4 linked regions of the Struthio camelus genome follow. The protein of the gene in region 4 purifies or fractionates together with the protein of the main gene of each other region. This does not show direct contact. Links are inferred from orthologs where the notes say so. Each region holds a gene or a part of one and is shown on either strand. Other genes may lie near its edges.

Region 1 (6,934 bases), on a different chromosome or scaffold from region 4:
CACTGCATCCCTCTGCCGTGCTTTCACAGAGCGCTTGACACCCGTGACACTGGCAAGTCAACAGGTCGACGGACTGAAACCACAGCTTTTTCCCTGGGTTATGCCGCATGACCAAGCCCAGCTGTTAGCTGCAGCCTGCACCCTGAAATCAGTGGCAGAGCCCCATTTCCTGGGAGGAACGAGGCCGGCTTCCTGGGGAGCTCGGGGCACGGCGCTGTCTGCCTGGGGAGGAGGAAGGCGGCTGCGGGGAGAGGTGCCTTTGCATGTTTGCACACAGACACAACTTTGCATTTTCTTTTTCGCCTTGCCGTCCGCTCTTGTAGAGCTCAAGAAGACTAGGCCTCCTCTGCTCTCCAATAGCTGAGATCAGCACTTTAACCTTATTATTTTTAAGTTAGTCTCTAACCTGATCCAAAAACTGACTACCCAACCTAAACCTCCCCTCCTGACCTCGAGCCTGGAGGGAACGTGTCGCTGGGAGGCGAGGTGCTTTGGTGCGGAGGTTGTGCTGGACATTTGGCCAGTGGTGTGGAGGCCACGTCGGAGGTGTGGAGGGAGGAGGAGAGCAAAAAGACGGTAAGGGCAAGGACACATCGCGCCCCAGACAACATTTTCAATTCATTGCAAAGGACAGGGACTCTGGCAATTTTAAATGCTTCTGCAACTAAAAAGGAAATAAGGGGTTGCAGGAGCGGAGCAAACCCCGGAGCACAGGCCCAAAGACAGCGTCAAACAAGAGCAGATGCACAAAGAGCAGCACCTTCCCAACATGATAACACACGTCGGGTGCTGCCTGGGACACCGAAACCCTGCTTCCCAGGCAGCGTTGCAAAGACCAGACCCCTCGCCTTTCCCACCCACGCTGCAGCAAGAGAGCAGGCAGGGAGCGCCCGTCTCGCTCCGCAGCACTTGGAGAGTTGCTGGCTCCAGCCTCAGGCACAGCAAGTGTCACTTCTCCCCCAACGCAGCAAGCGAAAACATGAAAATAGCCAGTGCAAATGGTGGGATTGCTTCTGGGGAGGTGATCCCCTCCACAACACCAGGCCGTCCCAGCCAGTCCCTCTCCTGGAGCTACAAGGATGGGAGAAATCTGGGGCTTGACCCTCAGGACCTGCCCAAAGTCCAGCCAAGAGCCATCTCCGGCTGCTCTCCCAGCAGCTCTGGGGCCCTTGCGGGAGAGGAACAGCTCAGCATTTGCAGCACAAAAGGGACCCCCCCCATCTGCCTTTTACTCCTTACAACCCCACTGGAGAAGCCCCCCCATCCCACTGGAGGGGACCCAGCGCGCAAGTGGAGTCACTATGCGCTGCCGGCGCACAAGATGGACGGTGCTCCTGTGCAGCTCTGCTTTGGCTTTCTTAGATATTTCCCCCTTCCTCCCTCCTTGACTATGTTTTTCTCCCTGGGTTTTCTTGGTAAATCCTCTTTGCCCTTTGGCAGCCCATCGGACTCATTCCCACCCTTCTTTGCCCCCATCCCCAGGGCACCTGCCTCTGTGCTGCTCTGAGGAGCCCCCACACAGGAGGCCCTGCTGGCACACCGGCCACGGGTGCTGGGGAGCGGTGAAAACCATATCAAAGCACCCGACACATTGCAGACCTTTGACACCCTCCCCGCAGAGCTGTTTGCAGCTCCCTCCCACCAGCAGGTCCTTGCCAGAGACAACACAGACAAAACCAAAAGAAAACCAGTTGATTCCAGCCAAACGACATCACATTAAAAGCTCAGGGGTTGCTGCATACAGCGTCGTCCTCTACAAGCAGAAACCCCCAGAAACCGAGGGGGCCACATATGAGTCCACCGAGCAACATTCACAACACAGCTCTTGTGCTGAAGCACCATGATGAGCGTGGACAGAAGGCAAATGCAGCCCCAAACACTGCGCAAAGCCCTCCCGGACCACAGCTGCCAAGACTTGGCCACCATGTTCCCACCAGGAGAAGACAAAGCTTGATAATGCCGCAGTGCCCTGAGATCCTCTGCCACAGCTCACTGGGTTCCTAAGGACTGGAAAGCACTTACAACCATTTGTTAGCCACAGGCAAAGTGTGGCTAGACACGTCTCCGTCAAAGCTGCAATCCCTCCGCTCCTTTGGGAGCCAGCTAAGATGGCTCTTCCAGGGTTACAAGCTCTCATTTCCCTTCCACAGCCGAACGCCATTAAAAGCATGTACTCATCACCCTACCTGGTGCTGGGATCGTTTATGAGTTGGGTTCCTTCAGCTGATCCATGGTAAGTTCCAGGTTGTCTCAACTGAGCTGGAAGATAAAACCACCAAGAGAAAACTTAAGTGTCTCCACGAAGGCGTCACGGTTCAGGGCAGACTCCTCTCGCGCTGTCGGTGGGAGCTCATCTTGCAGGAGCCGAGGCAGGACAACGGGACCATAGGGCGCTCAGAGCGCCTGCTCTCCAGAGCAGAGCTGGGCTCTCAAGGTCCTCCTTGCTCTGGTGAAACACCAGGCGCAGGATTGCTCCCTGGGAATCGTGCTCTGCTCGGAGGGACCTACCCTTTTTTGACTGGTGTCCAACTCCAGGTGCGTGTTCTTACCTGCTCGGTGGAAGACAGGGGAAAGCTCAAACTCCTTTCTGAGAAACACATCGGCTTCAAAGGGGTGTGGATCTCACGCAACTCATCTTGCTCTTCAGCCAAATGACAGTTAGGAAAAGAGGAGACACAAAGTTGCAGCAAACTGGAGAAAAGAGGAAGGTGGTGTGAACTCTCCCTGCAGGCCAGTGTCTAAAGAGATCTACCAGTTGGTTAATAGTGTAGCTGTGATCAACAGGTACATTGATGTCAAGCTGAGACTTGTCTCCTCAGAGAGGAAAGGGAACAGCAGAGATTACTAAGCAATGAAGGAATGTGGTTTGTTTAATATGAGCAATCAACATAGAAGAGTAAAATAATGACAGATGTGTAATCACATTTCCTGAGTCTAAAATCATGAGATAGAGAATTTAAACACTACTTTTCCCAAGATCAAGAAGAGGAGCAGTTTGGCTAAGAACTCATTTGGTTACTAATTTCCTTGCATTAAATAATCTATTTCGAGAGTCTTTTGACATGCTTTGCCGAAGTGCTCTAGGAACCGGGCTGCTCCCTGGTACACTTTGAAGTGAGGGTAAGCAGGACGAGAAGATGCTTTGGAAACACAGATATGCCAGCTGACCAAGCTGGCCTGGTTCAGAGATTTTTGAGTGTTGCTTAAGTTGTTCATTTTAACGAAAGATGGCAAGATAAATTTCATGTGGCTTTTTGTCCGGGGAGCAACGAGTGGCGTAAGACAGAAATTAGGATCCAGTCAAACCGACCCATTGAGGGTAGGCTGGGGAAAAAAATAGAGCCATTTCTCCATGAAAGGCCTGGCAATTATGGAAAGCCAGAGCGTGCTGCGTTGTGAACTCTCCCGTTAGGCTGATCCACAGAGGGCACACGGCTGAGGGAGCCAGACCCAAAGCCCCCCAAAACTGGTGGAAGAAGCTGCTGTGCAACCTCAGTCCTTAACTCAAGCTTTGGCAGATTTCTGAAGGTCATGGGTGCAATGACCTGAAGGAAAAGGGTTATGTGCAGTAAAGGGCTGCGAGGGAGAGGTGTCATTCGCTTATCTGTTTTTTTATTTGTCTCTTAAGATCAAAGGTGGGAAAAGTGCCAAAACAAGTGGGAAAAAAGCCATTGAGTGCAGAAGCCAGCTATAGAGGGACTCTGGCCTGTGGTGGCAGGTCCATCCCGTGAACTGGCTTCTGTTCCCTCAAATCAGTGCTGCCAACTTGGAGGCAAAGCCAAGAGAGACCATGGGTGGTCACTTCTGGCTACCCTCACCCCTTTTTTGCCCATCGTTGCTCTAGGTGGCCACTTCTCTGACAGTGCCGGTTGCAAGCCGAGCACTGCAGCAAGCCGTTGCCTCCCTATGTCGTGACCCCTGTGCAGCACGGGGAAGGCGCTTGCCTGGTCACCCCACAGTGCTGCGGGCAGTGGGGCTTGGCCACCCGCCTCCCCGGCTCCAGAGCTGGTGCAGGGCTCGCACAGGCTCCCCACCGGCATCTCCAGCGGCGCAGCACGTATTTGCATTTGAGATAGGCATCAGCAGGAGGAGCCAGGAGCCAGAACCAGGGCTTGAGCAAGAATCGCTCCAATGAGCTCGCCAGCCCCTTGGAAGGCCCCGCTCATGGCTGGCGCAGGACACGAGCAGACCCACCGCACTGGGGACAAAGCCAAATGACCTGCCTCCCCCTTCCCTGGCTTCACAAGCCTGTGACCCCAAGCCACCTGTCACTGTCACCATGCGGCATCCGATCCTGCCCTTCAGCAGTTGCAGGGCAGCAGTGCCCAGCTGGACATGGACTTGCAGGGCACATGGCCAGCCCCAAGCACACCCTGGTTATCGGGCAGCAGCAGAGATGCCCAAAGCCAGGGGCTTCGGGAACCGGAAAAGCCAAAATGGAAGTATCCAAGGGTGTGGGAACGCTTTCCCAGACAGGAGGCAGCTGGTGGTCCTAGGAGACCTTGCAAGGGAGCCCTGAGCTAGGGCAGCTGTATCGCTCAGAGGAAAGCCAGGCCCTTATGGGGAAGCTGCTGCCTCTTGCACCAGGAAAAGTGACTGAGATCTTGAAAGGGGCTTTAATTAGTCTGACCGTCTGTGAACAGCTATTCTGGAGACACCCGTGCTCCAGTTAAGGTTCAGTTTCACCCCAGAGTGTACAGAGCCCAGACACAGCTTGTCCCTGCCCAGCAGCATGCAGAAGCACTCGGACGGTCCTGGGAGAGCCCAAAGGCCGGATTTGCCTCTGTAATTAGGGCTGAGGCCAGATTCCGCTCGGCCAGCACTGGGGTGAGTTGCGTTGCTGGTCCTTGCAAGGGACGAAAGGCTTAATTTGGGATATAGGGAGAAGAGCCCATACAGTGAACGTGGGGAGCCTTTGGAGGACGTCTCGGAGCCCATGCCCAAGCAGGACGGCTGTCGGAGGCAGAGCAACTCGCCGCCTCTGCCGGCTTTGTGACATCTTGCACCTTGCCCACAGCACAGACGAGATCTGCGTCTTGCAACCCTACGGCTTTCATTCAGGGCTGCAATTTCTCCACCGGTTACTTTATTAAGAGTCACCTTGGGTGGGATTTAGCTGTCTGCTGTGAGATGAACTGAATCACGCCCTCCGAGTCAGCCCGCTCTATAAAGGGAGTCTAGACAGCCGGCTGATGTGGAGACATCTCTTTTGGAGATACGTGCATGAGGTCTGAGGCGCTCACCACATCAAAGGACCCCAGAGCTGCTACAGTGAGGTTGTAATTAAGCCACCCCAGGGCAAGAGGGAGAGAGTTTCTCAACACTGAGATCCTGAGATCCCCCCCACGGCTCAGTCACTCGGGGTGGTGTCCTCCATCATCGTGAGCCAGAGGGCTACCGGCCGGAGAGCTCGCACCCACCTCGCGAGACTTTGGCGGCCGTACCGGGTGTTTCCATCCCACTGCTTGCAGGGATCGCGCTTGCTTCATGCTGACCCCGGTCTAGAAACCAGGCAGCCAAACGCTCCTTTGCAAACGGATGAGGCTCCATTTTCAGCTTCTTGGCTCCCTTGCACACACTGACCCACGAGCTCCTCCCCAGCCGTAGGATTTAGGGATAAATGAAGACTAGTGCTGGCTGCTCCAGGAGGTTCACTGGGACCAGGCTTTTTTCCTCTTGATTGCTGGAGCCGCTCATTCCCCACTTGTCCCTCCTTAGGCAAGCCGGGAACGAGCAGAAGTGGCTCATTTTGCAGCTCGGGGCTGCGAGCGCTGTGGGTCACCAGGCCAGGCACTTTGCCCCGTGACATCCCACCTTGCAGCTGGCCGGGAAGAGCTGTCCTGAAGGTAGCTGCAGCCCTGGAAACCCTTGCAAACACTCTCGCAGCCTGCCAGCGACCCACACAGCAGGCGACCGAGCGCAGTAATATGGCAGGTTCCAGTTTCGACTTCAGAGAGCACAGAGGAAAAGAGCCATTTAATTACCTGGAGGAACCTGCTTCGTTCCCCTCCTTGCTATAAAGCATATTTGAGTCTTGTCTTCAGCCATGCAACAAGCCCCAAGAAACCCAATGCCTGGATAGGAACCGGAGCTTTGCAGGTGGTAGATACTGGATAATGTTTTTGCTTTTAGTAGGATTTTATACAGCTGGATCATTTCATAGAGTCGGCAGGTGACCACAAAAAAGAAAATGGGCGTAAGCAAGAAACACATAACCTCTTGTGGGCAGGGAAAGAGAGGATAACCATTAATCCTATCCACCAGCACTAGAAGGGTCATGTGCAACGCAGCCTTGACAAAGGCGGGAACATGTATCTCAATTCCCCATTAAAACTAAGCTCTGCAGGGTATCGATAAAGCCTACATTAAAGGATTAAAAATGGACTAAGAGATCTCAAAAATCAGTCTTCCACAGGAAAACCTCAATGAAGTGGAGTGTCGCTATCGGTGTTTCACAGGGCTTGGTACCAAGCCAGATGCTGGCCGACGTTTCATCCGTAATCTGGGTATCACTACAAAATCATTGCCAGCAAATGGTGTGTGGCACCCCACCTGAGGGGGTGTAGGCACTGAGCACAGACAAACCAGGGTGTTTGGGGATAGCCAAAGGTTTTTTGATGGAGAGCTGACAAATAACACAGATTTAAAGAAAATAATCGAATAATCAAATATAGCCATCTCAGCCTCTCTGAAATGGGTTTCTTCTTATTAAATAGGCAATGGCCACACAGGCCCTCAGCTGATCCCTCTGCCTGGCCATGTGTTCGTGCTTTGGAAGAGATCCTATCCCACCACAAAGCCCTTGAAGGGTTTTCTAAATGTAAAATAAACCCCAAGGCAGCCCTGAAGCTGGAAAGTAAAACCAGGCGGTACCAGTACCTCACATCGCGTCCTCCCAATGCAGCAGCCCTGCCTAAATGGGTGAAGAGATTAA
Region 2 (7,992 bases), on a different chromosome or scaffold from region 4:
AAAGAGCAGCTGAAGAACACAGTTATTGTACTGTCCAATGAAACGTTCTCTAAAAGTGCCTTAAGCAACCTGAAAATGTATTGCCATTTCAATTAACAAAATCATTTTCTAACAAAGAGCACGCTAAAATAGGGGGAAGTAATCTCACAAGTATACACCCTATTCACAATAAAAAAGCAAAGCACAGCACCAAGGATTCAATACGCACTAGCTAAACAAGAACTTTGTTCTGAAGACAGATGTTAAAAAATTTTCATAGAACAAGATCACCTATATCAGCATTAAAAAAATCCCTCATCGGTAGCCTTTGAAGTTACAAACTTTTTCCAACCCTATCTTTTTATGCTCATTTGTAATTACTGCATTTCATTTTCTATCTCACTCTCAGGTCTACTACTTTTCACAGCCGAAGTAAACAAAATGCATGTTTACATTTGCACATGGACTTCAGATGTTTTGACATCATCTCACTATGCAAGATTTAATACTCATTAACATGAAAATTAGCCCAAAACCATGGGTTTTTTTTCCAAGTTTCTCATAAATTAAAGCTAGTGTTTTTCAGTTAATCACAACTTTAACCGGTCCTCCTGACACTTGATAAAGGCAGCCCTGCCTTCATCATGCAGAATGACAAAATAAGGCAAAACGAGACCAAGTTGAACAGGTAAAGTATCACAGAAATCAGTAATAAATTGCAACTAGCTTTCCAAGTTTCACCTTTCTCAGTAGCGCCTGTTACTGTTACAAAACACTGTCTATGCAGTGGTAAGAGGAGACATAACTTGCAACAGAGGCAAATAAAATCCTTACTACAGTCTTTGATACAAGCTTAAAAGATGAAGTCTCTCCTATTTGTTACAGGCTTAGAAGGCTGCCATTCATTCTGCAATGAACCATTCCCTTAATGTCTTGGAAAGAGTCTACTAACTGTGCATCTTTTAATGTTTCTCCTGTAGGAATCCAAACAAGAACCAAGTCAAAGAAAAGACCTGCATGTTTGAATCCTTACCATGATATAACCCCTGGCTCTAAAACTGGATGTAAGCAATACCTGAGCATTTAGTCAGCTCACAAGCAAACCCTACACGTCTGAGAGAAGACAGCTTTCTACTAATCTTATTTTAAACTACTATTAAAAGATATTCACCATACACCCTATAAGTTGCACAGTGAGGTTTTTAATATTAAAGCCTATCATTAAACAAATTATCCAAATATCTTGTCTGCTTTCTAGTATTCAAGCTAACAAACAGACACTCTCCCTTTGTGGGTCTCAAGCACTTGAAATTTGATTCCGACTTTACAAACAAATGTTTATTGAAACAAGTTTTTCATTAAGACTGATTCTAAAATTTTTATATATCTGAAAGTTCTGAGAAATCAGTTTTCATGCAGCATCAAAACACAAAAGATATTGCTCTTGTTTGAAACAAAGCTAAAGGTCAAATAGGGATTTGAAGAGTCAAATTATTAACATCATCAGACAAGTTTAAAACAAACTCAAAACGATTACAAAATAAAGCTCAGAATCTCACTCTCTACATTCAAATAAAAAAAACGCATCACAAAAGAAGCGTCATTTGCATTCAACACAGCCAGCCATTGTGTCATACTTGTAAAGGAAACAAAGAATATAGTATGTCTACCAGAAAACGTGCTAACTTTTAAACACAAAAAATTGTTTCCTACACTTGTAACTTAATCACTACATCAGCTCTAAAGAAAGAAAAGGAACAAGCACAGAGATTAGTCTATGGAAAGTTAGCAAAACAGCTGTTCAGAGCAGCAGGGATTTATGAACAAGAGGACCACAGGGAATCCAATTTTAGGTCCTCCACCAAGGACCAGGTATTGATGACAGTCAGAGATAGCAGTTGTATCAACTCAAACACTACAAACTGCTATTTTTGTACTTTAATCTAAAGTGATGATGGTAGATGAAAATTGAGTGCAGGTGCAAAACTTGAACTGAAAATCAGATCATATAAACATATGGCTACAAATAATTTAACTAAAAAAAAAAGAGAGAACAAAAACAACCGAATTTAAAAAAAAAAAACAGTATGAATGCTGTTCAACGTTTGACTCCCCTTTCTGGAGGGCAGATGCAAAATTCACCACGTGCATCGGGCAAACATCAGTCCTCCGACCTCAGTTTAATACCTATATTCTGCCAGTGACCCCCCACACTAGCAGGCCTGTCATTCTGTCTCCTGCGCTGCCTCCTGCCTCAGCTCACCCAGGATTGTCAGATCATCATCCCAACATGGCTGCCTCGGTGATGGTGCTGCACTGAATCCCGGCACCGAATCCACCACCTAGAGGGGCCGAAAAAAACAGCCGGGGGGGGGGGGGGGGAACACGCAACCCCTTTTGGTTCGTGCAGCCGTCCCCAGCTGGCACGGGGGGGCCGTGTCTCCTCCTAATCAAGCCGTTATCGCCTCCGCCTCCCCCCGCCTGGCAAGGGGAGGAAGGCCGGAGAAATGAGGCCATCTCCAGGACGGGGTCCAGTAGGGGAAGCGGCTGCAGCGCCATGGCTCGCGGCGCCAGCGGGGAAGCGGCAGGAAGGCAGGGGAAGAAGCAGCTGCGAGGCCAGGCCAGGCCAGGCCGGGCCGACAGCCCCCTTCACCGCGGCAGCCCCTGCCCCCGGGCCCCGCCGCCCCCCCGCGGCGCGGCGCCCCTGCCGGCAGCAGCGCGCGCGCGCGCACCCGGCCCCGCCAACGGCCGCCGCCGACCGTTGGGTCGCGCCCCCCCCCCGCCCCCGCGCGCGGCCGCCCCTCACCTGGGACGTCCGCGGGCCGCGGGCGCTGTCAGCACCCGGCAGGGCCGGCGAAGGAGCGCAGCGCGGGGCGGAGGAAGGGGGGGAGCCCGGGCAGCCCCATCGCGCTTCGCCGCCTAGCTACGCCGAGCCGGCAGAGCGCCCGCCGCCGGGCGGGGAGCGGGTGAACGGAGAAAGGCCGCGCCGGGAGGACCGAGCGCAGCGACGCGCTCCCCACAGCGCCGCTCCCACACTGACAGGAAGGCGGCGCTGCGCGCCGCTCCCCGCCTTCGCGGGGCCAATCGCCACTCGCCCCTGCCTCCCGCCCCTCCTCACGGGCCAATCGCCGCGCGGCCAATAGGTGTGCGCCCGCCCTCCGCCGTGCCAATCACGGCTTGACACGACCGGGAGCCAATCGCCGCCCGGAAGAAGGGAGGACGCTGCTCGGCTCCAAGGCGATGCCGGCCCTCGACGCTGCGGCCCCGCCCCTCCCCCTGAATCAATCCCTCCGCCGAGCCTCAGGGGCACGGCGAAGTCGGACGGGGGGGGGGCCTCCGCCGCTTCAGCCAATCAGAGCTCAGGGCAGAATTCGCGTCGCCCGTCTTTTAACCAATCAAGAGCGGCGCTAGACACCTTCCCTCCCGCCCCCCGGGGCCGCATCACCGCGCCGCCGCCGGTGTGTGCCTGCGCGCCCCCTGGCGGCGGCGGCAGCGCCTGCGCACGGTGTGTGTGTGGGGGGGGGGGGTCGGGCGGGGCCCCGGGGCCGTGAGGCGGCGAGCGCAAACCGGGCCCATGTGACGGAAAAAACTGCGATTTTTAACGGCTTCTGGGCGTCCGCCCCGATTTAAAGGGCCAAGTGGCAGGTAGGCCTGCCCACCCGCCCTGAAAACCGTGCCCGGACCAGCGAATCGTACCTCTGCCATCCCCAGGCCCTTTCAGTAGGACTCAGAGGCCCACTGAGAAATCGAAGTAAGGCCCAGCGACAGCAGCGATATGTACCCGAAGGAAAAAATATTTCCCCCCCGCCTTCAGAGGTTTTTTTTTTTTTGGGGGGGGGGGTGGGGGGGCAGCCTAAGATATTTTCTGCAGATTTCATAATGCATTTTTATGTAATTGGGTGTTACAATGGTGTTCATAAATTCTCATACTCTAAAATTCCACACATATTCTGTCTTATATTAAAAACTGATCGTTGTGGCAATAATCTCCACTCAAACACTCCTCCTTTTCATTAGTACTTTATTCATTTGTGCTGTTAGGAATAGCCGTATGCTTAACCTTACCAGCATTTTTAAGAAAAAGCATGTATTACATGAAATACCTTCATTACTTTCCATGCACACACACACACACACACCATCATTTACAAATCAAATCTGAACTGTTGAGAACATTCGGTACTTGAGACTTCTGGCTTCAGAACAAGGTTTATTTTTGTTCACAGGTCCCTGGGCTGGTAACTATATTAGTCTCTCATGTGTTCCCCATCGTTTACAGTTGCTTGGAAGAATGCATTACTAGTTGCTTTCTGTTGGGTGAACAGTAATTTTTCCTCTAGCCCGTCTTATGACCGTGTGTGCTTCCCCACTGCAGTTCAGCCATTGTGTGCAAAAGCCTACAAGAGCACAGCTGAGCATCGGCTGGCAAGGATGCATTGCTGCAGAACCAGCAAAGCAATAGGGGTAGGTTTTGCATGTCCTAGAAAATACCATTCTTCGAGCTTTGGAATACTCCCTATTGACAGGAAAATGGAGTTGGCAGTGTGCACATTAGTGTGCTCTAGCTGCGTTAATATCTATCTAGGGCCATGCACAATTAGGTGAGTTACAATACTCTTAAAAAAAAAAAAAAAAAAGACTGGAAAGCTATCTATGAACTGGCAACTTACAATACTGAGCATGTGCTGTACTCTTCCATGGCAATAGGGTGGTTAATTTTACTTTTGCAAACTTTGCATACTCTCTCTTACAAATAATAGTTCACGCACCACTTCCTTGTTTCCTAAAGTTTTGAGGTTAATTACATAGAACAGTTCCAGCATGTTAGTTCTAAGGCTGCTCATTTACAGTGACTTGAAAAATCTTCCAGGAATGCTCAGAGAAAACCTAGCTTTAGTTGTAGAAAGAAGATACCAAAGGACATATGATGCATGCTCTATAGGATCTGGGAGGTCACTTATCGCAAAGTGAGACAGTGAGAGAGAGAAAAATTGATCCTTAAATATCAAGTCTATTCAGCTGGAAGGTGGTAAGGTATTAAAGCAACCCTCATCCAGTTGGCTGTAATACCTTTTAATTAAAGAACTTACATATTTTCCTCTCAATTTAATTAGATCAGGCCTTGCTTTGACTAGCCTTCTCAATATAATTTTTGAAAGTCAGCTCTCCTAGAATAATATAGAATTAAACCTATTCAAGATGCATTTAGCTGGAGTTCTGTTTCAGTACTCTACCTCTGAATCCTGCTTTTTAGCAATGAATGTGTCCATTCCCCTCCAGAAAAGGGGCAATCTTTCTCGGTCCATGAGCTTCTGACAAACAGCATATAGCCCTGCAGCACTTAGCACACAGACTGATTAGTAACTTCACACAAGCATATGCAGATTTAAAGTAATTTAGATATTTCTTTCCCCCCCCTGAAAAAAAAACCCAACAACTTCCCAGTACAAGGAAACCGCTTTTGAGCATTATCATACCAGAACAATGAGAGCAAGCAGTACTGTGAAAAAGTTATTGCATTTATTACTACAAACAAGGATAATTGGTTACTCAAGTCGCTGTGATGTGCTACCTAAAATTGGGAAGACTGCTTAAAGGCAGGAAACAGGGTAGGTTTACGCCAAATGATAAGGAAAAGGAAGACTTACTATATTGTAGTGTAATGCTCGCGGGAACTGAGGGGACTCAATTTGTTATTGGCTAAAGCAGCGCTGTCATCCTGCTATTAACAGCATCACAGGCTGTCCTTGCTGCCAGCAGTGTATAGTTGGCAACAGGGTTGTAAATTTTGTTATTACATAAGAGTAAATTATGATATAATAGAATCAATTGCACTGTATTTTATCAATACCAGCATTAGAACTTGGCTTAGTAATCCCTCTAGTCACATAACTAGAGGGCAAGTACAGACCAGTGATACAATGTTTTAACTTCAACTTCTCCTGGAAGGACACATTTTGCAAAGTTCATGGAAGGTAGCCCATACTGAGATGAGCAATTTATTGCGCAATTCACAGATCAAAACTCCTCAGATTCTGTAGATGCATGTAAGCGTCAAAGCTCAATACATTACCACTGAAAATATCAATTAACTGCTGGATGCTTAATTTTATTTTTATTGTAATAAAATTTGATTGCAAAATTGCAAAAAAGTACAGCTTGTATTAAATGGACTAAAAAGCTAAGAGTTTTCCTGAAGCTGATAAGCTTTTATGCAGGATTCATTCTTAGTCCAATACTAAGGTTAGCTTTCTAAGTTGTTGAAACATCTACTATCCACCAAAGGACAGGCTACTGATACATTTCTGCACCCAAAAGACAGCAATATAATGGTACTATTTCAAATGCTTGTATTAAAATATATTTCATTATTCTGTCCATGAATGTTGATTTTGGAAAAGTAGGTGCCTAAATCCACACCTTTCTGAAATATTTGATACTTTGTTCTCCAGATAAAATTGTTTTAGCCACTTATGTCAGCTTTCATGTCTTCTGTAATACCTGGATTGACACATTTTCAAGTGATAAACGTGAAAGATATAGCTCACTGCACACATTATAACATGTTCGGAAACTATGATGGACTTGGATGCTGAATGACAATTTGCAGGTAAAAACATAGCAGGTTTTGTTCTGTGACTGTTGGGGAGGAAGAGGGGGATTTGAATTTGTGAAAGGAGCGCAGATTAAGAAACCAAAGAGTGACAGAACAATCTTCTCTGTTCAACAATCCATGTAGCCACAACCTTCAGAATCTTCCCCCCCACCCTCAAAAAAGAAACAAGCACACACCACCGCATCTCAACGTGTTAACTTGAAATTACTTACACATCTGAAAGGTCAGCATTGTATTATAATATGACCAGAATTCCCCCTGGAGCGCGGTCACTGCCTGCCAAGGTAACTACCATTAGGTACAAAACTCACCTACTTGTGGAAACTCATTAGTTTGAAGTACTACTGATATTTGAGTTCATGGCAGTTTTTCCACATACAATTGACCAAGTTATCTCTGGATCCTAAATGAGTATCGGGAAACTTGAACGAAGCCACCCAATCATTTGTAATTTTTTTTTTTTTCTACTTTCAGTGACTCACTTAAATGAAAGACAAAGGAAAGATTCTCTGTGAGTGTGTATCACCATTTATTGTAGTTCAAGAGAGTCAGGAATTGAACAGAGGACACAGCGGGAAAAAAAACAAATAAAAGAAAAACAACCTTTTTTTACAGACTTAATTTTAAAACACTGTGGTTTCAAATCCTTTTTAAAAAGGAAATTCAAGTATCTTAAGCAGGGGGCAGTAATACAAAAATGTTTGTGATTTTTTTTAATTTTTTTTAAAAAAATGTAATTCTACATTTCCTGCACCCTTTTTGCTTTGGTAAGGCCAAGCCATGGATACAAATTGGTAAGCAACATAAAAATGATCCCTGCCCCAACTGCAACCTCCAAGAATAAAAGGATCTGCTCTCTGCGGACAAGCTCTAATGGCTCAGAACTGTCATTTAGCATATATCATATCTTCAGCATTAAAAGAATGGATTTTATTTTTTTTTTAAAAGTCACTGAAATCCTGGTATTCCAACTATCTCATTCATGGCAGCTGTTTTATCACATTTCTATCACAAGGCTTTTCAAAAATACCAGAGCATCTAGATCAACATAAAGAAAAGTGACATCTCAAAGAACCAGAACTTAAAATCCACATGTCCAATCTTTGCCTTTTTTAAATTATTCTTGTGTCTTCTAACACCAATTAAAAAAACAAATATGTGACTATGTATAATATAAAAATACGATCCCAAGATTAACACTTTGTTGCAGGCACAGTTATCGCACAGAATATGTTCTTTTTGAGGGCAGGGGAATGATTTTCTTTTTCACAGGGATTTTTTTTTTTTTTTCGCATTACAAAAAAAAGACAGCAGTGCAGGTTTGTAGGGTGGAAGGAGGGAGGGAAAGAGGAAAAAGTTACTTTAGCAGCAAAATGTCCAAGGTTCTAACCACAATC
Region 3 (6,990 bases), on a different chromosome or scaffold from region 4:
TGATTAGCGATGGCTGCTGCATGCGCAGCTCCGAAGACGCCAGAAGTCTCCGATACAAGACTCTAACCACACTAATCAGTGCCAGGCTCTGGGTTAGAAAACAACCAGCACAGGAACTCCGGAGAAGAGTTTAAGTTTTGCCTAGAAAATGACTATTCTCTTTCTCCAAAATAAATAGATGTGTTAGACAGTCAGCTCTCCGAGAGTGACCAGCCATCGCTAACTAGAATTTTCAATACCAAGAGGAGCAAAAACATCCTTCCCCTTCTCCCCGCAGTTCACCACCGTGCACAAAAACCCATTTTACAAGGGGTGGGAGACTGCAATTGAAACATTCTTTACATTGCAAAGACCAGAGCACGCCTTGTCTGCATGACAATAAAATGTTTGAACATGAATTTGAACTAAACCCCAAGTCTTCCATTAACCATCAGATCCAACATTTTTTTTATCATTACTTTTAATTAAGGGTGCCTTTTTTTTGTGCAGTGTAAAGCGTATGGTCAAATGTCGCTGCTCCCACCAGCCAGTGGTGGCTGCACAGCATGGAGATTTGGGAGACTTCAGCTGGGAACGGGCAGAAGAGGGACCTGACCAGGTCCCTTCTGAACCCCACACAAGCACTCTAATTACCATTACTGGGGGGGTTCTGTGTGAGCAGTGGTATTTTCTCTCTTACCTAAAGCTTCAAAAGTTTTCTGCACATCTATTCTCATTCTCCCCCCGCCATATGACAAATACAGCTACCCAATCCCATTACAAAAAAATCCCTCAGTTTCAGCATCTGAGGTTTTCTAATCCCAGACTCTGAAAAGCTCTGTGCTGAAATAATGAAATATTTGTTAATGCAGATTTCATTATCAAAGGCAAATATCAACAGTTTACACAGGGATTTCCCTAGTTGTTTTAAGTGTATATATAGATAGATAGATAGCTATAGATACATATCAGCTAGTGTTTGTATGCTTTCATCTTCCTCTATCAGAGGAAACTGGAGAATGACATCCTAACCAAAACATAAAAACGTAAAGGTCAGAAGTAGCGCCTCATCCTCAGGAGTAATTGCTTAAACCAGCAGGACTCTCGATATCTTTCAGGTTTTGCTCTCAACCACTGTTTCACCCAGTTTCACAAAACCCTGGAACACGACTCATCTAAAAAAATATGTATTCCTCTCATATGACTTTGTAAATGGTTGGTTTTGATTTTTTTTAAATTTAAAGAGTAGAGAAATACAAAGTACTCTCAGAAATGCAAACCTTGTTTCATACAGAAATAAATATTTACATTTTCCTTCAACGTTACAGAACTCTAAACATCCTGTGTATCAATACCTTCGGGCTTTTTTAAGTTATTCTACTTAAAATAAAAAGCCTATCCATAGGGTAAGTTTAAAAGTTATTTTAAAATGAGGTAAGCCTTCCCATTTCAGAAACAAAGTACAACCACACAAATCAGAAGGAACACAGAGGAAGTTGAACATACTGGTTTTCCACTATATAAAAAACAGCACACACTTCACACTTACATAAGTTTACCCCTATTGCTCCCATGTGCTACTGGCAGGCAAAGGAGAGGTCCTTTTGTTTGAATAGTACACCAAGCCAATACCAAACGAGGGGAGGAAAAAAACACCTTAAAATAGGATTTTCAAATAGGTGAGGTAATACCATCCAACGTAAGCTTCGCTGACTCAAAGAAAAAAAAAAATCACGCAAGAAAAGTGTATGAGAGAGAGAAAAAGAGTGCTTTAATTACCTAATTTTATTGATAGCACTTACAAATTTGGCATTTGTGGAAATCATTCCCGATTCCCTTACCTACGGGGCCCTCGGTTCAAAATACTCAGCCTTTCCTCGATAGACTTTAAGCACTAGATGTCATCGTTTTCCAGAGGAAACAAAGAAGCCTGAACTCAGGTCTGGACAAGTTGGCAAAGGGGGACTTTCTTCGAACGCTTACGCTTTTCAAAGTTACCGGAATGGCGTATTTCCAACAACATAAGTTTCACCTGCAGCGAACGGCTGCAAGCATACCTACAAGTTTAAAGCTGTTTAAATAACTCATAACCTGAGATGTTAAAGGTCGCTTTTAAAAGCGCGCAATGACAGAAAACGAGGCTCGCAGGAACTCCGAGGTTTCTTAAAAACACCTTCCGTGTCGCCAAGCTCCCTTTTCCAGCCATACACCACCATTTCGCTCGCACAGGGCGCCCGGGTACAACCTGGTCGCGACCTCCTCGCAGGCGTTAGCATACCGCCAGCGTGATTCGGGCTAACGACTAGACAAACAGAGGTATTATTAGGTCCGGCAAAGCGCAGCCAGCCACTGATGTTAAAAAAATAAATAAATAAGAAGAAAGAGGGTGGGGTGGGGGGAAGAGGAAGGTTACTGTAATTTTGGGTTACTCCGTTTCCTGCAGCCTTCGAGGCGGGAGGAGGAGGAGGAGGAAGAGGAGGAAACACCTTAACGCCGCCGGCCGCAGAGCGAGCGCTGGCGGCAGTGATTTGCAAGAGGCACAAGGAGCCGTGAGCCCTAGTCGCGGGCATGCCGCCGTCCCATCCCTTCGCGTAGGCGGGGGGGGGGGGGGGAGCGCAAAAGCACACCTTCCCGCAAGCTTTAACGACACCTTCTGAAAAACAGCAGTCCGCAGCTGCTCAACGAGCAGCAGCGGCAGCAAAGTTTGGGCGCTCCCGCCCCGCAGCCCCCCAGCAGCAGCAGCACCCTCCTCCCCAGGGACGGCGGGGCAGCAGCAGGAGGAGGAGGAGGCGGCGGGTGGGAGGGGGTGGATGAAGGGCAGCCCGCGGCGGGAAGGAGGGCAGTAGCGCGGCGGCGGCGGCAGCAGCAGCAGCCTCACCTCGACCCAGCGCTGGGCTGCGGCGAAGGCCTCCGCGGGCCCCTCCATGGCGGGGCAGCGAGCAGCCCGTCCTCGGCCCGGCTGAGGCGCGGGCAGCGCCGCTGTCATTCAGCCGCCTCCTTTTAACGCCCCGGCCCGGCCCGGCCCGGCCCGGCCCGGCTCCGCCCCGCTCCCCCTGCCGGGAGCTGCCGGCACTCGGCGGCCGCAGGAATTTGGGAAGCCGCTGGCGCTAAGGCAACCGCCCCCGGCAGGGGCCGCCCCCGCCGGGCTCGGCCCGGCCCCCCGGCGACGAGGGGCTCAGGGCAGCCCCGAGCCGCCCCCCCGCCACGGGAGAGGGGCGCTTTGAGCGGGTGGCCACAAAAAGAGAGTCCCCCCCCCCCCCCCGCTCCAGGAGACGCCGGGACGAGGACCTTCTTGGCTGTCATTTTGTTCATTCACGCCCCCCCCCCTCCATGGTGGTAACCACGCCTGTGTTTTTAACTCGGAGGGGTTGCAAGGGTGCCCGTGTCGCGCCTCAGCCCCGCACGTCTTCTGTGGTCCCGCTCGGTGGGAAGCGGGCTGTGCCGCAGTGAAGGAGGCAGCGGGCAGCTGAGGCCCGCCGAGCAAAACCCTTGCTCCCAGGGCAGAGCAGGAAAGCTCAGCAAGAGAGGGGCCCCTCCCTGGCGTGCTTGCCCACCTCAAAATAAAGGGCAACTCCTTGATTGCATTGTAACCTTAACATCAAGGCGGTTTTTCCCCGCCCCTACTTGAATTTCTTATTAGTCTTCTTTCCCTAAAACTTTTCCATATAAGCAAAATGCAGTTGCTGCCTGTATCGTCTGCTGTTATGGGCTGTGGCAGAGCATGGGCTAATTCTATCTAATTTAAGAAAATTCAGTTAACATTGCACACCCATTAGCTTCTCTTGACCTGTTTACTTGGATGCACATCTTATTTCTGATCTGAATACAACCTTCTTAAAAGGGGAATGAACGTCTTGGGTGGAGTTGATCTCCTATCAATAAGCTATTAGCTATCAGTTTCTGTAGCACATATAGACCTTGTTTTACGAGTGGCAGACAAATGAAAAACCAGTGATTCAAATTGAAATAAACTCCACAGGATGTTTGACATTTATTAAAGTTAGAAATGCAGAGAAAGCACACAGTTAGCTCCTCACGGTGGTATGATTTGAGATCTCAGTGCTACAGGGGCAGCAATGAATGAAACGACAATGAAAGTTATACTTTTGAAACAGTTTTTCCTCACTCCTCTTTCCTATCCCAAGGTGGAGCAACTGTAAGACCAAATACAAATGAAGAACGTGCATTCCTTTTTAGTGAAATGTGTGAACCAAGCAACCTTCTCATCTCAATTATTTTGCATTCATGGCTACAAAGGTGAAAAAAAGAGTGCATGTGCTGCTGCTGGCTGACATCAATTTGCATCAGTTGTCATTACTAAAAGTTTCATTTGGAGAACTACTATAGCATTTGCCATTAAAGTCTGCCTTCTCACAAATATTAAAAATATGATATTCAGCCTTAAGTAGGAGAAAAAGGTGGAAATTTGAAAATAAATTTCTATGAAACAGGTTTAAAAAAAATAGAGTTCATGCTTAAGAAAATAGCTTCCAAGTTTTTGCACTTTTTTTTGGTTGTTTTATATCACTTCAAGATGAATCAGATTAAATACTTTAATCATAAGGAAAGTAATTTTTTAGATAACATATCTCAGTAATTTTCAGCAAATACTCCTTTCAGTAAGTTTCATGGACCACAGCAGCTTTCAAGTAGATGCTTTTACTCAGTGAGTGACTTCAAGTTCCAACATACACATTTCTTCCTCAAAGTGAATTTTAAATCAACAATTTTCCTATGTAGGCCAAAACAGCAGAAATTGTTCAATATTCTTTTGCACTAACAAGATAAGTCACCAGACTCTTAGATCAGAAAGAGACTGCATAATCCTGGCATGACTGCTAATTATTGGTAAGAAGAGTAGGCAAACTAATTCACTCCGCAAACTAATTCACTGTGTGTGTGCTCCCAGGGATAGACAGACTGTGGCTTGACTTATTCTTTTCATAAAAAGTTCCAACAATATTAGATGCAATAATATTTTCCATCAAGGCAGGTTTTTTTCCCTTCTTAGAAAATAAATAGTGTCTTTTCTTTAGTGTGGGCTCTAAGTGTATTTATTTTCCAAATACGACATTTCAGTGATAGAAACCACTTTTCTCCTCACCTCGTTGTGGACATGCAGCCATGATTGAAAGGAAAATGCATTACTCTGGCTCTTCAATCTTTAATGTTTCCCAACAAAATGCTTTTAATACCACAGGAAGATTTATGCAGGTATACGTAGAAGACTTTGAACAATCGCAAGCAGTTCATAGTACACCAGCTCCATTCAGCTAAAATTATGCAAGCGCTGAATATGCATCATTTCTTCCCTGCGTCCATCATGCATATGGCCGACCTGAACTGCAGGAGCCGAAGAGGGATTTCCTGGCAGTCCTAGCGCTAAATACCTGGAGCCAAAGCAGGCTACACACAAAGGGGGCTAGGCTCTGCCAGGGACGCACAAGTTCAGAAATGCCACATGATTTTTCCACAGAGCTTGAGTTAATAGCACAAACTTGACAGATAATGCAATGCCTGCATGGGCATCGCAGCACTGAGGGCTCAGCCAAGCTCCTTCACCCCAGTTCAAACCTTGCTAGACTACACAAGTCAGCTAAGCACGCGTGCCACGCTCCTGGTGTCCGAGTTAACATTGGTTTTTCAATGCCAAAGATATTCCGGCACCTTGCAGATCCCTTCATTGTCTGTGCTTCTCAAGACACTCGCCAGTGCCTGTGCCAAACCACGGTATTACAAGCACTGGAAGGCCACCACAGTGCACATGTTAGCTAAAATAGTATTTCTGCAGCAGTCTGTCAGAGATTTCAGCCTAGCAAGGAACTGCGCAGTAAGCAGATACCACTCAGTATAAAGCCTGACACATGGTTCTTCCTTAACTGTGATCTCAGTCTTCTGAGAACCTGACTGTCCAAAAGCAATGTTCACTAACAAGTACCATCTTATATTAATAATCCAGAAGTTAACACTGAAAGTAAAAATACAAGGAAACCTTACCCTAGAGAACTGATTTTAAGACTATTTACCCTAGAGAACTGATTTGGAGACTATTTAGAAAGTGTGTGCACAACTGTCATCTTTCCAAACACAAAGACTTCTTATTTATAATCTTTTGCTTAAGGTCACATTCTTCAAACGTGACCAAGAAAAAACCTATCCCAGTTTTACTACTCTAACCTCAATCACCTTTGCTGAGGTTTCACTAAGTCTGTTACAATAATTGATAGAAGTTCCAGTTCTTTTGGGTGTGCAATAAACATTTACACAAAAACACAGTCCCCACATTTAGTGCTTTAAAATACAGACATCTTCTGAACATTGATAGGCATACATGGGTATGAACATTTCCCTACATTAGACAACTGATATAGCTAAACAGTTTTGATTGCACTTCCTCTTCCCTCACCCTCAGAGCACCTTATCTTTATTAGCTATAGCTCAGTTTCCCAACTGCAGTCCTCTGAGCCATCTTTAACACAAAAGATGCAATATCCCAATTATATTGTGGAAACTTTTAGTTCAGCAGGAAAACAAATGCAGTTGCTCTGTTTAATAAATTCTTTGAATTTCACTTAAAAGGAAGTTTCAAGGCTTTACTAATGAGCATGGCAATGTAAAGCAAGTGTTCTGTAGAGCAACTTTTCTGAACACTACTGCATTTTATGGGGAGAAAAATAAATGCTGGAAATGGAAGCTCATTAGTGTTCTCCCCCCTCACTTTTCCAACCAGCTCATTTACAGAAAACAGACTCTGTTGTCAGAGGACTCTCCAGGTGACATTTTCAGACAGACACTCTCCTCCGACTTTTTCTTTAGAGTGCAAAAGACGTTCTTAAGTGATAAGACAGACTCCCAGGCCTGTTTCTTTCCTATGAAGGAAAATTCTGCCAGATTGCTTCTGGCATAATCCCATTCATTTTACCTGTAATGACAATTGATAGAGAGTGAAAGCACACTATGGGACACTGAGGGATCAGTTTCTTTTGCCAGCAGTCTTGATTGGAAGCCAAC
Region 4 (7,629 bases):
GGGAGAGAGAACTTAATGCGCTCCTAGTATTAATGCAAAAAGTGGTCATTCCACATGCACATTCAACTTAAATGACAGATTGGTATTCCTATATATTTGTAGACGGTACTTACCATCACAGGATTCCATCTACTCCAATTAGTAAGTGTGACCTTTTGGTCACATATCTCATAGATCACCGAAATAAAGAACAAATTTAAAATTAACCTGCACATTCAATGTACTTTCCTCAAACAATTTCACTCACACAATTATTTAGCAGTCTCAGCTACGATATTTGCAGAACTACAGCATTTCAGCTATGTACGTACAAGAACAAACTAGACCAACATTTTTAATTGTTTCAGCTGAATAAGAACACAGAACTAGGTGCTAAATAGCATTTATAATATATAATCTTCCAGGCCAGGGCCAAGACAGACATGAAGACATGTTTAGAACAGCTAACAGAATTAGAGCGTGCACCTTAAATTGGTTTACCCAGCATGACTTCAACAAACTTTATGGAATCTATGGAGGGGAAAAAAAGGCATTATTTTAAACATGACAACTGGAAGATGTAAAGCTTCCTCCCTAATGACAGCAGTCTCATTGCCCTTCAGAAGCAATGTATCATGAGGAGTCTTCTACACTTTACTCTAGCCAGCTTGTTCAACAAATATCCATGCTAGTGTGCAACAGAAATCCTACAGAGGAAAACGCTGCAAAAACTCAACCGCTATCAACTTATTTCTCCTAGCAGACAGGAAGTCTGATTGTTTGGTACTGCAGATCTCTACAATGGCGTAGGGTCTGATCACTTTTTGAAGAACAGGAATAATTTACCACTAGTCTAGAAAAGCACCAAAGACAGTTGCACCTCAAAAGTTCCCAAAGATGATGAATCCTTTAGGATGCTAGCCAAGCATCTTACTTCGGGTTTCTACTCAAACCAAAGCCAACACTATGCCAGGTGGAGAAGCCAACACATCTATGCCAGGTGGAGAAGCCCTTCCTCCTTATAAACAAACCAACCAAAAGAAACACACACATAGCTCTAGGAGTGTCGTTGCAATGGTGTGTTTTGCTTTTGTTTTGCTTAAATGCATACCTATGTGCAATACTGGAACTGCTCCCACTCCCTCCAGTCAACTCAGTCTCACCACGCGATCTTGTTGTTGGGGCATCTTTTCTCGTAAGTCCTTACGGTTATTCTGAAAGGACTATTTAACTGCTGTCATTTAATGGAATTCTTATTTCTACCCCATTTCTCTACTTGAACAGTCACAGAAGTAAGCCTTATTTAAGCCTTACTTTTCAGCTGCAGTTTCTATTTTCCTCCCCAAAATGGGCCTTTCTCTGATGCCTGAGAACAGTGCTACCCAAAGTTTTCTGAGCAGCAACTCAGAACCTAGTACAGGAACGTCAATTGGCAAGAACTATGAAAATGACAAAGAAATAAAGTATTTGAGGTGTCTTCCTATCTCTAGGTGAAGCATAAGTATGCTCACAGTTTTGACATTCAAAGGTATTTATTTCTCTTTGAATGCATAAACATAAGGTCATAAGTCAAAAGTAACAGTCCCAGAAGAGTAACATCATCAAGAAAACTAAAGGCCCTTTCTACTACTTGTGAGAGAAATGCGTTCAAGAAACAGTCACAAGGCAGACATATTTTGGGCAGGAGACACCATCCAAGGTTGCCAGCTCCTCCCCACCACCCCTTTCCCCCCCGAGATAGGAACCCATCAGGCATGGTACAGGAATTTTACAAGGGGAAAAAAAAGGAAAAGACTACATTGGAAGAGATGATCTTTATAAACTCGTATCACATAATGAAAGCATGTGCGTTTCCTTCAGGCAATGAAGGATGTACTCGATCGCTCCAGGGTGAGAGCTCGCTCTCTCTCTACGTTTGCTAGGGGCAGCAGTATCCCCAATCGCAGAAAAAGGAGAAGAGAACAAAAAAAAGCGCCAGCCACCTTCCCCGGGGCCCGACAGGGAGAGTAGGCCGCTCCCCAGCGTCGCCTCCCGAGGGGCTGGAGGAGCCGGGCACCCATCTTCCGGAGAGCAGGGCACTGGGCGTTGTCTGCGGCGAACCGACCTCGGCCTCCCACCGCCGGGCTCCGCGAGGCCCAGGCCGAAGACACGCAAAACCTGGGCCGAGCGGAACCGCCTCAAGCCGCGCCAGGCAGCGGCACGACGAGGGGCAGCGGGGTCTCTTTGTCGGGCCCCCCGAGGCGGGGGCGGCTCCCTTTCCCCTCCGGGACTCGCCCTTCGCGGCCGCCATTTTACTCCCGGTTTCTGCCGCCACCGCCCCCCGAACCGGCCCCGCCCCGGCCCAGGCCGCCCGCTCGTTCGGGCCCCCCATCCCCAGCTCCACCAGCCCCTTGGGGCGCTCCCAGTCGCCATTTTGTCCGTGCCCCCCTCCCCCGCCCCGGCCCCCCCTCCCCCGCCCAGCCGCCATTTTGTGGCCGCTCCCTCCCTCTCCCCTTGGCCTTGCACGGCCTTCCCAGCCAGCGCTCACCATCGTAGCGCTCAGCCTGCTCAGCCAACTTGGCCTGATAGACGAGGTCCTCCCGATCGTCCATGTCCTGCAGGCGGGGCGGCGTCGGGGACTGCACGGGGCGGATGGAAGCCGATGGCTCTGGGGGGCTCAGCAGCTACCAGCTCGCCGCTCTCCGGGCAAATATGGCGGAAGCCCCGCCCCGACACATCCGGGCACTTCCGCCAGTCTGCGCAAGCGCCCTGCGCTTTCCCATGACAACGGCGGCTCCTTGGCAACAGGCGGGAGGCGGGGGCCGGGGCCGGGGCCGGGGCCGGGGCCGGGGCCGGGGCCGGGGCCGGGGCCGGGGCTCGGGCTCCCGCCGCGCGGTTTTTACCGGCGGCTGTGGGTCCCCGACCGAGAGGGGGCTCGTTGTTTTGGGGACCCGGAGGAGCCCCGTGCGGCCCCGTGGCGGGCGGTGGGGGCGCGGGTGGAGAGCGCGGGTGGCCGCCGGGCTGCTGGCAGGGGGAGCCCCTTTCCTGCGTGAGGGAGGGCTGCGACCCGGGCCCGCGCTGCTGGGCGCTGGGGGGGGGGGCGCTTAGGAAAACGATGGGGTTTTTTGGGGTTTTTTTCACGCATCTGGTATCTTCCCCTCAGGCAACGCGTTTCTGCGCCCTCCAGCGCTGATAGCATTATTTGAATACCCCTCAGTGTGTTTTTTTACAAATCACTCCATACGCTCTTTACATCACGGTGTATCTAGAAATGGATATAAAGCAGTAGGTCAGATTTCGGAGGTTTCTGCAGTTTCTCCAGAGTGCTTACTCAAGAGAAATATCACCCCCGAAGCTCTATCTGAGGCAGGGCGCGATAATTTCAGTTTTAAGAAGTCAGGAGAGCCAGAATCGAGGTTGAATGATTCAGAAGTTCCTCACAGAGCATTTGTGAAATATTTAGAGTGCGGGTTTAAAGACTTGAGATAAGGCCTTGATTTCCAAAATCAACATGGCTTGGGAAGACGAGAAGGGCTTGTGCTTAGCTAGTGTAAATTCAGCCTTCAGAAGTTCACTCAGGGCACGTGTGAAATGAGGTCTCGTGTCTCTCGGTTGTCCCCGCGGCTCCTGGGTCAGGTAGGCGAAAGCCTGAGCCTTGCCAAGGTGTGGAAGTGCCCGAGGGCCTTCGCTGCCCTGGAGACACAGCAGGACCCTGCATCCCCTGGGCACTGTCTTGGGCATCCTTCTATTTTGCTGTTTTGTCTTGTGCCTGCTGAAACGGGCTCCTGATGTGCAACTGCAAGTACAGCGCTAAATCCTAATTTAAAACACACTTTTTTAAAATGGTTTATCTTTTCCTGATTGACTTTGACTCATACTACTTTAATGAGAGAGCAAGAGCTTCAGGGTATGTATAAGTAACATATCCTTAAGGCCTTCTTGCCAACATACTACAAAATTTAACAGACTGATTTTATATCACTGTTTGCATAACTTTCCTTGTGACGTTCTGGGCCTCAGTTCTATTCAAATCTGTGTTATCTAAACAAAAATATATACAAAAAAAACCAAAGACACTAGTATGTTCTGGGCTAAGGTGGAAATTAGGTGTCAAGTCCAAAAAAAATTTCTATTTTCAATGTAGAGGGAATACAGTCAGAAGATGCAGTTTTTGCTGAAATTGGGAACTATTCTATATCTTTACCTCTGAATTGTTTGTAACTACAAGGCACAATTCCCAAGGTTTTTGGCAGACGCACACGAGAGCCCAGCAGCACACAGAGTCATGGTCTATTTGTGTGAATTATGAAAACTCATTGAGCGTCTGACTTGCAAATCATCTCTGCACTTCAGAAATCTTGACCATAACAATTTACTTTTCGGCTGCTGAGACTTTGTGTGGGAGTTATGCACAAGAAATTAGATTTGGATCACGTTTAGTATCTTTTCTGTGATCCTCATATTGAGCAGGTACTCGAGTTGTGCAGAGCTTAATGGTGCAAATAAACCAGGTCACGTTAAGAATACTTGTTTGCCGCAAGTAAGTTGCCCACTTGATAATCTTGCTGAATTGTAGCATATTGCCTGAATACTTGAAATATTTTTGAATGCACTGGTTACAGAGGACATGCACATGTTTGGAAATCGGTCAGAGAATTGTTGAAGCATTAGGAGTAAACAGTCTAATGCAGGGAAACACTCAAAGCAGGATTTCCTGCTGCAATCTTTGTCTAATCCGTTGCAGCAGCAGCAACCTTTACACGAGTTGATTCAATCACTACTGCAGTGGAAAAATCATCGCCGGGAGGAGGCAGATGGGGAAGGAAAGGCAACAGTTTTCTGTGCGAGTCCTGAGTCACATCAGCTCACAGAGAAAACTGGCAAGTGCCAGTCCACGTTAAGAATCAGGAGGGCATGGCTGTCAGAGATGTGCGGAGAGGGGCACAGGACCTCTGCCTTTTGGCTGTGGTGAGTTGTGAAATTATCTCAGGTCATCTCATTAAAAGGCAGCCTTCGGTTGCAGTTCCACTGCAGCTGAATTGGAAGAACAATGGGGCAAAGCTGGGGGCAGAACCGCAACCTATGAAAATTTGCTTTTTCCACCTGAAGCTGACAGAATAGTCTGTATTGCGTAGGGGCATCACAGGAAAATTAGTTGGCATCTCAATACAGTTAAATACAAAGTCACTCACTTAAATAAATTCCCACTTGAAGACTATGCCAGACAGTATTGACTGAGAAAATTATCTGTAGTAGCCAGCCAACTGAACTTGAATCAACTTAAATATAAGAAGCTATCACTGTGATGTTATGACTAAGAAAACAAATGCTATCCTTTCGCTTAGAAGCAAGGAAAACTATTACTGCAGTGCTAACATTATGAAGGCTACTCCTTGTATACTTTTGGGAAAAACGGACAGTGAAGCAAGTAAAGCTTTAATTGGGAATATACAGTATGGCTTCCTACAAATGCTTTAAAAATAAAACACTGAACAAAGGAGCTCCCTTGCAAAAGGCCAAATGCTTTGAGGGATTTGGAATACCACAAATGTAATTTCTTTTGGCCCATAATTAACCATGGCACAAAGTGCAGAGCTAAGGAACTGGTGGAGTAAAGCTAGAGCTGTTCTTTGGTGTACACCACAAGCTAAAACTGTCTGGCTTTTAGATATTGTGGAGTAGTAGTACCATTACAGACATCTCTCCCTTTCCCTATTTCAGCATATGTCTCAAGAACTGTTTTTTTGTTTTTAATGGATGGTCTTGCATCTAAATGGATTCCCATCCCTGCAGGCCTAAAGGCCACTTCCCCTTGCAGCTTTTAAGGACTGTGATGGGAAAAAAATAGGTCTAATGAAGATATACGTTTGAAATGTCCTTCCACATGGGAGATCAGACTTTCTAGTCCTCATTTTCTGTGTATTTCATCCCTTGACAGTACACGGCAGATCTTAGTCTTTCACTGAAACAGTGCTCTCCTGCTACCACATTTAAAAGAAATCCTATTAAACCATTAATAGACTCTTGTATGAGACTCTTGCTGCTATTATTTATATACTTAAATGCTCATTTCTGCTGATGATCCTAAGACTGGAAGCTTTTTATCTTTCCAAACTGACACTCATCCAAAGAACCCCCACACTCTCTTCTGATACACCTGTGCAGTTCCACGTGAAACTAATAGTTACAAAGTCTCATGTGCACTTTCCTCATGAAACCTCCTTTGCAGTGAGAATATCCTTTTCTCCCTTGCCCTTGAGGAACTCATTTTATTAAAGAAAGTCATATTGTTTCAAAGAGGCCATAACATTTTACTGGTTAATAAGTTCTATTCGTTATCTTGCTTTATCTTTTTTCTGCAGATATTTTGCTTAATTGTTTTTGCATGAGTATGGCCAATTAAAAAATACTGCCAGCAACTGTACTTCTATATTATTAAATGCAAATACTCCAATAACAGCTGATTGACAATGACACCAAGCCAATGTTTTGGCTATACTTTTATTTACTTCACGTACTATGAACATATACATTACATGCTACAAAAAAATAAAAAAGACTTTAACTGTCAAGAAAGTGGATAGTGTTATAATACAATGGCACATGTTCATATTTTTCTTCAAACTGGTTTGGTTAGACTCCTTCCCCAAAACTACTAACAAAAAAAATGAAGTGTTTTAAGATGATTAGAAATATTTGCATTATTAACAAATAAAATTCAAACAGATTAACAAGATTTAACCAGGTCAAATATTAGTAAAAAGGCTGGGGTTTACCAAAATGAAATATATATTAAAAAACCATAGCAGCCAGTTGTACTTTTAGTGTGATATAATGTGTAAATGCACCAGAAGAACACAGTGTAATTGAGCATTCTGCTTTCAACGGTGTATTTCTAGAAATGATTATTCTAGTTCTAACACCTGCCTATGCACAATAGACCAAAAAAACCACAGCCAAGTAGAGACAAGAGATTGTGACCAACATTCTTAGCAATGATTTTTTGCACGCATCGGGAAGGAGGGAAGGAACAAATAGAAGAGGATAAACAAAGGCCACAAGAGGATTTCATCTACGTGTTTATGAACATATGTTCTACCTATTTTCCTTTAAGAGTTCGATAAGTTGAAATGTCTATTTTGTACAAATGCAAACATAGTAACTTCTATCACCTATGAAACAAAATCACATTTCAGCTTAAAACAGAATAGTGGAAAACAGTTGCATAATGTATCAGTTGACTAAGAAAAAAACTGCTTGACAAGAACTTAGGATTCTAGTGCAACAGCAGCTATTAAGACTCTTCTAGTTACTTTTTTTGCTCTTTCAAAGTGTACAAATATTTGCAATTTATACAGTCTTCACCAAAAAAAAAACCACATCTACAAAGTTTGCAGGGTATTTGCTAGTTAACAATTCAATTTGTTTTTCATAATAAAAAGGCAAGATTTGCATAATAAAATTCCTTTCAGAAAAAATGTGTTTTGTTATCTTAAAATAATTGCTGATTGGAAAGCTACAAATGATTTTCATTAACTGCCATCGGAAAAAATTCCTTCAGAACAAACTGTGTTACTTCAAGAACACACAGTTCATTATGCTTCTTTTGCAATACGTGAAGAAAAATATAAGCATATATGGGCAACTGATAAGCTTAGTATGCAAGTCTGC

Evidence for each region.
Region 1: the proteins of YWHAE (region 4) and FRMD6 purify together in Homo sapiens (co-immunoprecipitation; 3 studies listed by BioGRID and IntAct, with this or other methods). This does not show direct contact. The link is inferred for Struthio camelus from reciprocal best matches to the Homo sapiens genes YWHAE and FRMD6.
Region 2: the proteins of YWHAE (region 4) and KIF1B purify together in Homo sapiens (affinity purification with mass spectrometry; 3 studies listed by BioGRID and IntAct, with this or other methods). This does not show direct contact. The link is inferred for Struthio camelus from reciprocal best matches to the Homo sapiens genes YWHAE and KIF1B.
Region 3: the proteins of YWHAE (region 4) and LMO7 purify together in Homo sapiens (affinity purification with mass spectrometry; 3 studies listed by BioGRID and IntAct, with this or other methods). This does not show direct contact. The link is inferred for Struthio camelus from reciprocal best matches to the Homo sapiens genes YWHAE and LMO7.

The regions. Positions count from the first base shown.
Region 1 is NC_090946.1:80,641,425-80,648,358, forward strand, and holds the start of FRMD6 (FERM domain-containing protein 6), read right to left. Parts: upstream 3,003-6,934; 5' UTR 2,550-3,002; intron 2,260-2,549; 5' UTR 2,187-2,259; intron 1-2,186.
Region 2 is NC_090962.1:5,886,564-5,894,555, reverse strand, and holds the start of KIF1B (kinesin-like protein KIF1B), read right to left. Parts: upstream 3,020-7,992; 5' UTR 2,786-3,019; intron 1-2,785. UniProt on the Homo sapiens protein: Has a plus-end-directed microtubule motor activity and functions as a motor for transport of vesicles and organelles along microtubules.
Region 3 is NC_090942.1:177,434,768-177,441,757, forward strand, and holds the start of LMO7 (LIM domain only protein 7), read right to left. Parts: upstream 3,001-6,990; 5' UTR 2,966-3,000; coding exon 2,858-2,965; intron 1-2,857.
Region 4 is NC_090957.1:15,856,062-15,863,690, reverse strand, and holds the start of YWHAE (14-3-3 protein epsilon), read right to left. Parts: upstream 3,010-7,629; 5' UTR 2,571-3,009; coding exon 2,507-2,570; intron 1-2,506. UniProt on the Homo sapiens protein: Adapter protein implicated in the regulation of a large spectrum of both general and specialized signaling pathways. Binds to a large number of partners, usually by recognition of a phosphoserine or phosphothreonine motif.